Cricetulus griseus: one gene and its partner. The main gene of each other region encodes a partner of the protein of the gene in region 2 in a complex. Links are inferred from orthologs where the notes say so. Each region holds a gene or a part of one and is shown on either strand. Other genes may lie near its edges.

Region 1 (4,434 bases), on a different chromosome or scaffold from region 2:
TAAAAAATTTAAGATTGATCCCTTTTATCACTGCAGAATTTCTTCGTAAAAATTAAAACAAGCTTGCAAAAAATATTAAGCATCTAAGGAATTCATTTGTTCTCAAGGCAAGGAATGATATTTGCCAGCGTGAGTTAATTTAAATAGTGTTGATTTACATGCTCAAAGAAATGTGTCACCCTGCAAAATTTGTTTGTTTGTTTTGTTTTGTTTTATTCTTAAACTATTAGTAAGAAAGCTGGATGTCAGGTCTCAAACCTGGGACAATTGCTAACATATCAAAGTGGACCTGGCCACTACATTATCCTAGTATTCCTCAGTCCCTAACTGTTACAGGGTATGGCTGACATAGCCCACTTCCTAAACTTTTCCAGCCCAGGGGTTGGGGTGCCCTTTCCCCAGATGCCCTTGTCTATATAACCCAGACATATTGGTTACCAAACCCTTTTTGTTTACTCTCTACTCTCCCGGCTCTCCCCTTGTCCCTCTCCTCATGTGACCCAGCTCAGGATCATGTTCACTCTGGACTCTGATGTACCTGCCTCTGGCTATACTCTCCCCGTAAACTTTCTCCTCCACCATACCTAGGAGCAGTCATGTCTCTTTTATTTTTGTTTGTTTTTGTGTTTGTTTGTTTTTAGTCACTGATCAATTTGTTGACACTAGGAACAATATCAGCTGTCAACTAAAAACAAGTCAAATGCTTTTGAGCATTTTCTCTCAGCTTTTGTTGAGTTTTGTTTGCTTACTCTATTTAATTTTTGACAGTCTCACTATGTAACCTAGGCTAGGCCAGAACTTAAGATCTCCTCCCTCTGCCTTCCCAGAACAGGGATTGTAAGTGTGTACCACCTGCCCAGCTTTTTCTCTGGCTTTTGTTTAGGAGAGGATGCTGCAAAGGTGTCCATGAATTACTCTTGGAAACCCATCAGTGCTGAGTTGTAAATGACCTCGAGGAAGAAGCCAAATCCTCAGCCTCCAACTCAAACACTTCAGGGAGCAAGAGAAAAAGAATGATCTGCTACTTCTCATCTCAACACACTCCCTGTTAAGCCCTTTTCTGTTGGTTCAGCTCTCCTTCTCTTATCTACTTCTGCCCACCCATCCACTTCTTTAACTAACCATAACATCTCTTGTAGAATGTCATCCTACATTCCACACCCCCTGCAAATGAAATGCTTTGGGTTCAACATGCAGAAGATTAGCTTTGCTGGCTAACACAGCTATGAAAATGTTGAATTTCTAGTGTAACTAAAATTTTATTCCAGTAGAATGAAGTAGACGCATCAAAGGCTGTGAAGTATATCCCCATAGTGAACTCATTGTCTTGGGAAAGAAGAACAGCTGAGACTCCCTGCTTCTCTTCAGTAGAGACAGATCTAGCTGTAGAGGAGGACAGGTCCAAGTGGGCAGCACTACTACAGATGCTTGGCCTCCAAATACTACATCATACTTGTTTCAGAAATGCTTAAGACTGTAGTAAGATGACTCAGGTAAGGTACCCAAGACAACATGAAATTCAGTTATATTTTATCTTCTAACTGAAAGTAATCAAATACCACATTTTATCATTTTGCTATGTGAAACAAAGTTTAACGATGTGTAATTTTCCATTCCTTGACACCATGTAAGCACGCAAAAAGTTACATATTTAGAAATATTTCTTGTTTTGGGTTTCTTTTTTTTTTAGGTCAGGGATGTACAACCTACCCTTCCATCCTCCTAAGGTATTATTTCAGACCTTCATCATTCTTTCCATCCCTCCTACCTCATCACTTGATTCTTAAGTATATGGTCCTGGTTGATTCTTACCTCATAAAGTCACACCAAGTCAGCTTTCAACTTTGTGTCACAAGCCAATACACCCACCTACACCTAGCCACCTATGCTTTGTCTCTGAGCTGCAATAACAGAAAGGTTCATCCACTTGTTTTCCAGGCCCATTGCCTCTTTTTACAGTGGATAGAAGGTTTTAGATGGTTTTTTCGATTTTTCTATTACGTGTTCCATGTGTTCCTGAATCAAAATAAAACCCATTTCCCTTCCCCTCACAAACCCCGTTAAAGCATAATGCTCACTCACCATCCCCCTTCTTACCCTCTACACCTCACACTCACCACTGTTCCTGGAGAGACTGCCTGGGCTATAAATGAGCACCAGCTCAGCAGTGGTGCTGTTGACTATTCTCTGAATTGTTCTGTTTCCTCGTGGCACTGTCTCTTCACAAAAAAAAAAAAAAAAAAAAAAAAAAAAAAAAAAAAAAAAAAAAAAAGGATGGGGATACTAGGGAGCAATGTCTGAATGACCAGAGCCTGGGAGTATTTCCAGATGTGGGTTGTAGCACACCAAGGGTGACACTGTTAACTTCCATCATATTTGAGTGCTTGTCTTACCTGCTGAAATAAGAGTTCCTCAGCTTTGAGTCGCTCCAGCATTTCCTGCTCCATCAGTGCTAATTCTCTCTCATGCTCCAACTCAATCATCTCTTTCTGTCTCTAGCAATTGGTAAAAAGCAACAGCACACAACTTATTAGAGACCAATCTGTTAACACAGTCTCAGAGGCATCTCAACCACCAGCAATAAAAGAAGGGCTAAGAACATAATGCTCTATTCATTTGGAAACTATACAACAATTTGGGGGATTTTTATGATTTAGCCAAACAAAGAACACACAATTAAGATTATACATCAAATATAAAGAAAAATGAAACCAATCTACAGACAAACATGTCAGGAAAAGACACTACTGGGTTGAAAATACTTAAAATCAAAACAGAAGCCTTCTTTCTGTTTTCTCTCCTCTCTGCATTCACATACTGTCCAAAGTTTTCATATAATAAACATTATTGTAATGGAAAAACAATATTGAACATAAAATGTAAACAAGATGAACCAATTATCATGCTCTTCTAATTTCCTGAAAGGAGATCCATATTTACCAATTGCTCCATGATCACATTTTGCTTGTACTTATAAATCCACAAGGCTAAATATTCTATTGGATCCAATGGGCGGACTCTTGCCACTTCAGCGAGACCTTGAGTCAGGCATGTCCCCAGGCACTTTTGAAGATATGATGACTCCATTTTTAATTCCTAAATAAAATGATCTATAAAAGTTTTTCATTAGAGCCAAAAGTGTTCTGAATAGGCAGAGTTAAAAGTAAAGTCAAGCTAAGCAGTGGTGGAATTCATCTATAATCCCTGAACTATGGAGGCAAGTAGGGGCAGGCAGATCTCTGAACTTAAGGCCACCTTGGTCTATAGAGAGAGTTCTTGGTCTACAGAGAGAGTTCCAGGTCTACAGAGAGTACCCAGAGAAACCCTGTCCATATATATATATATATGGCTACCGGAACATTCCACTCTGTCACTAGTCATGGGTATTTCTTATTAAGGATGAAATAAGCAGGCTGGCCCAAGGAAACTCCAAATGGTCTACAAAAGGTCTCTGCAGAAGTCATAGTGAAAATAGCTACTACATCCTGACAGTTCTTGTTTAGTCCCAGGGTCAGAAATGGGCACTAGTGTTATTCATCACATTGTGCCAAGTAATGCTGGTGCCAGTTAATGCCCACAACATCTCAGGCAATGGTCAGACAGGGAAGCAAACTCAAAGAGCTTTAGTGAACAGTCCAGAGCACTTGACTGGCATGTGAATGTATGGTTTGTACCCACTGCCTGACCTCAGAACCTTAAGTCTATTGACTCTAAGATGCTTCTGCTATGTACTTCCATAAAACATCACAAACTGTCCATCTCTTCTGAAAAATCATGTATTGTCAAAGCCAGAGAATACAAATTCAGATTCCAATAAACAGCATGCAATTACTCATAATCTAGCCATAAACTTTAGGCTTACCTCAAGCACCTGCCTGTCATCATCCACCCTAGGCCCTTACTCTACCAAATATTCTGCCATTCTACACAACACACCCTGCACTTTTCCAACTCCACGATCCTCCCTCTATTGTTGGAACATGGCTCCTCACCTTCAAGGTACAGACCAGCTCTAGCTCTAAGAGTTTTTTCAACCAGTACAAGAAGGTTCCTCCTGCTTCAAGTAGTTCATACAGCCTTCATCATGCTGCCTGAGATGAGAGAGAGAGAGAGAGAGAACATGCATGCATGTAGGCATACCATGCACCTATGCTTGTCTTTCTTCTAGAAGACAGACCCCTCTAGGTTCCCAAGGAGTATTTTGGTCACAGGGCTAACAGCACTGAGCAAGTTTGTGCCCACTCCCAGCTGTTTCCCAGTCTTTTCAGATATGAACATTGTTGCATGGCTCCTTCTGGGTTGACTATTTCTATTTACCCCAGAAGGATAAAAGACTGAACATATGATTCTACTCAAGCTCAGAATTGTAACCCAGTGTATTTATTGGGATTGCCCACAGAAGCTACGGTAAGAATATATGTTCCAGTGAGAAGT
Region 2 (4,273 bases):
GAACAACCCCAGAATAGTCTCTTTGGAGCCCCAAGGCAAGTGGGCAGGAAGGTTTGTCTGTCTGTACTTTGAGAATGAATTAGTGATGCCTAAGCAACGCACCCTTCCCTCCTGAACGATGACTTCCTCCCCTCCAGCACATTTTCCGTCAAATGATGTTTTCCCTAAACAACCAGTTTGAAATTGTCATCTGTGCTGGACCTAGTGGTTCAGTCCTACAGTTCCACTTACCTAAGAACCTGAAGTGGCAGACTCATAAATCTAAGGCCTTCCTGGGCTACTATGGGGTGAGTGAGTTCAAGGCAAACTTGGGAAACTTATGAGACCCTATCTCAAAATTAAAAGTAAGTCGAGGCTGGAGAGATGGTTCAGTGACTCAAACTACTGACTGCTCTTCCAGAGGTTCTGAGTTCCATTCCTAGCAACCAAATAATGACTTACAACTATTTATAACAGGATCCAATGCTGTCTTCTGGAGTGTAGGTGTACATGCAGACAAAGCACTCATACATAAAATGCATAAATAAACCTTTAAAAATCTTACTAAATAATAATATTAAAAGGTTATAATTGAGTGGGCCAGTGGTGGCACACACCTTTAGTCCCAGCACTCGGGAGGCAGAGGCAGGTGGATCTCTGTGAGTTCGAGACCAGCCTGGTCTACAAGAGCTAGTTCCAGGACAGCTTCCAAAGCCACAGAGAAACCCTGCCTCGAAAAACAAAAACAAGTTGTAATTGAACTGGGGATATGGTTTAGTGGGAGAGTGCTTGCCTGGCATGCACAAGGCCCTAGTTCAATCCTTTGTAACACACACACACACACACACACACACACACAGAGAGAGAGAGAGAGAGAGAGAGAGAGAGAGAGAGAGAGAGAGAGATTGTTACCTGTGCCTTTCACAATGGCATTTCCCCCAATCTATTTTTCAATAGAATTTATATCCTTTTTGAGTTATGTTTTTCTGTTTTATTTTTTTAGACAGGGTCCCACTCTGTAGGCCAAACTGACCGGTAACTCCCTATGAAGCCCAGACTGGCCTTGAACTCTAGCAATCTTGCTTTGGCCTCCAGCATGTAGGAATTAGAGTTGCCAGCCACCAAGCCTGGCTTATAATTACTTATTATGATCATTGTTAATTGTCCATCACCCTAAACCAGAATGGACTCTACATAAGAATAGAGATTTTTGGTTTTGCTCATTGCTGTATCTCTAGCATGAAGAATTGGCATAAAAATAAGGAGAGGCTGGAGAGACGGTTCAGTGGTTAAGAGCACTGGTTGGTCTTCCAGAGGACCTGGGTTCAGTTCCCAGCAACCAGATCAGGCAGATCACAGGAGACCTGACACTTTCTTCAGGTTTCTGAAGACACCTGTACATATTCATACCCATGTAATTAAAAATAAAATTAAAAAATAATATTGTAGTGAACTATAATAAGTCCAGTCCTCATATAAGTATAGGCAAGGCTTTTTTTTTTTTTTTTTTTTTTTTTTTTTTTTTTTTTTTTTGGTTTTTCGAGACAGGGTTTCTCTGTATTGCTTTGGAGGTTGTCCTGGAACTCTCTCTGTAGACCAGGCTGGCCTGGAACTCACAGAGATCCACCTGCCTCTGCCCCCTGAGTGCTGGGATTAAAGGTGTGAGCCACCAACAGCCAGCATAGGCAAGGCATTAATACTGAATTATATCCCCAGTACTGCGCATATCCTAACAAATAAATGAATGAATCCATAGATAGCTATGTGGCTCAGCCAGGAGTCCTATACTGTGGTGATATTTTAGACAAAAAAAAGAGGAAATGTGGTGATATTCTGTTTATGATCTAACAAATAAAGCTTGCCCAAAGATCACAGAAGCAGAGCAGCCAGCCACTAGAGAGTTCTCACCTCTACCAATGCTCAGATCAAAGGGGCGTTCCTGTCCTCAGACTGCATCTGTCTCCACCAAACCCCAGGCTACACTGAGCTCCTGTCTCCTCCCACCATACTGCCTACTTCTGTCAGCCCCATGCTCAGAAGGAAAGTTCTGTGTATCTCTTCCCAAGGACCCACCTTTGAGATCCAGGCTTCCTAGACGGGGATGAAAGATGCCTTCAGTGTCCGTGATCTGGTTGTAGGAAAAACTGGCAATCTGCAGGTAGGGCAGTTCGTTCAGCCGAGCACTCCGAAACTGGTTCCCATCAGCCTTGAGCCACAGGAGGTGGGTGAGAGAGTTGAGCGGCGACAGGTCTGTAAGGTGATTCTCAGAAATGTCCACATAGCGAAGGTGAATGTAGGAGCGCAACAGGTAGATGTCTGTGAGGTCCCTAGGAGACAGCAAGGGGCGGCGCCACCAGAAAGGATAAGAACCCAGCAAGATCTGGAAAAGGTGCTCTCCAGAGGGCAACAGAGACAGCTTATCAACGGGATGACGGAGTGGGAGGGGGGAAAAGGAGGCAGGTGGAGTTTTGTTCTTGTTTTTCAGTGCAGAGATGAAAACCAGGGCCTTGTACAATGCTAGACAAACCCTCATTGCGGAGTCTCTGCCTAGCTTGGAGACATAGCTTAGTGTGTGTGGTGGGGAATGCTTGTCTAGCATGTACAAGGAGCAACAAGATCATGGACACTGAGGGCATCTTTTCATCCTTCTCTTCCCATGAGATCAGATCGGAGAGACAAGCTCTGGTCAAAACATTCAGGAACGAGAGAAGGGAGGCTCGTGGTGCTCCAGTTTCTCCGTCCTCACCTGTCTTTAACCTCCAGCTTAATATAAGCGTGAGCCAGTCCATTGCCAGTCTTGCAGAGTAAAGACAGCCCTTCCTTCATCATGGCCTCCGTGAGGGGTGTGGGCATCCACTGCAAGAGGCGGGCAGTAAAGGCGTCACTTTACAACTCCCCTCGAGCCCCAGAGCCCCAGGGCCCCTCCTCCAGGCTCTCACTTCCTCGGAAACTTCCTCCCCCTCCTTTTTGTAGTCATCCCACTCCTCCGTCTCCTTGTCATCATCCTCTTTTTCCAGGTCATCCTGGTCTGGCTCAATGTCATCCAGATCATCTTCATCCGACATCTTTCTCCCCTCTGCCCTCTTGAGTCAGATGAAATTCAGTCCTGGTGCTGAGAAAGGAGACGTTAAGTTCCCACGCCACCAAATCCTCCTGTACAGCCTCGTGACTGCTGACCCCCGGCCTGTGCATCGTCCCTCGTCCCGGAGAACATCTCTGGACTCCCAACCTCTGCTTGGAGGACCCCACTCCCTACAGGACACCTTCCCATACCCCTGGCCCTTTCCTGCCTTCACAGTGGCTCCAACTCTGTCCCAGCAACCCAGTGTCCCTGCTTCCTGAATTCCCTCTGATAGAGTTCTACACGTCTTCCTAAAATCTCCCCACCTACACCTCACCTCCAGGTTCCCTTCCACCCCCAACCCCTGCTCCACTCATTGCTTCTGATGCGATAGATCGCTCTGTTTAACACCATTGCGCAGACGCACAGTCTCCAACCCAATTCGCCTTTGGAGGGAGGCGCAGACCCTGGTTCTCTTCCTCTAGAGTAGTTATGGAGAGGATCTTGGTGCTGAGAGGCCAGGACTGCTTTTTGGAAGACGCATCGGGGGCGGAGTGGGGGTGGGGTACTCCGGGCTGTATACTGTTGTTATGGCAACGGGGCGGGGACGCTTGGCTTTGCAGCCAGCTACCGTTAAGAACTCAGAGTAACCCAACCGTAAAGCACAAACCCCAACGCCCCCTACAGTCACCTTCGGCGGGTAGTTCAGTGGTTGCCAAGTTACGAGGCCAAATTCCCAATCCCACGAACCTGGAGGAGGCAAGAAGAGTGTCACGCGGTTAATTGTCCGAGGACATAAAACAATGGTCCACTTATAACAGCCTTGCAGAAAAGTGGGAGGGAGGCGGGGCTGGCCATTATGTCCTTAAAGGGACCAGATGTCCGGCGCAAAGGTATTGTGCTTTAAGACTATCCATCCCTAAGAAGCAAAGGGGGTTTGTTTGGTTGAGTGGTGAGTGGGATCTATCGCTGCTCAGGTTCGGCTCATTGGTTATTTTCTGGTAGGCCTTGGAAGGTGGGTGGCCTGACTGAACAGAAGCTCAGGCTTAAGACAGGCTTGTAGGTACCGGAGAGATGGCTCAGCAGTGTCTGCCCTTTGAGGGTTCTCAGCACCCACGTCATTCCCACACCATCTGTAACGCCTTCTCCGGGGAGATCTGATGCCCTCTTCTGATTTCCAAGTGCACCAGGCACTCACGTGGTGCACAGACATATATGCAGGCAAATGCTCAT

The links.
Region 1: Lrrc23 (region 2) and Dydc1 share a complex: the UniProt entries of both Homo sapiens proteins name them as parts of the axonemal radial spoke complex. The link is inferred for Cricetulus griseus from reciprocal best matches to the Homo sapiens genes LRRC23 and DYDC1.

Annotation. Positions count from the first base shown.
Region 1 is NW_023276807.1:179,044,986-179,049,419, forward strand, and holds the start of Dydc1 (DPY30 domain-containing protein 1), read right to left. Parts: upstream 3,088-4,434; coding exon 2,941-3,087; intron 2,496-2,940; coding exon 2,394-2,495; intron 1-2,393. UniProt on the Homo sapiens protein: Functions as part of axonemal radial spoke complexes that play an important part in the motility of sperm and cilia. Plays a crucial role during acrosome biogenesis.
Region 2 is NC_048601.1:21,627,417-21,631,689, reverse strand, and holds the start of Lrrc23 (leucine-rich repeat-containing protein 23), read right to left. Parts: upstream 3,081-4,273; 5' UTR 3,045-3,080; coding exon 2,919-3,044; intron 2,836-2,918; coding exon 2,726-2,835; intron 2,307-2,725; coding exon 2,053-2,306; intron 1-2,052. UniProt on the Homo sapiens protein: Essential for sperm motility and male fertility. Plays an important role in the proper assembly of the third radial spoke (RS3) head and the bridge structure between RS2 and RS3 in the sperm flagella.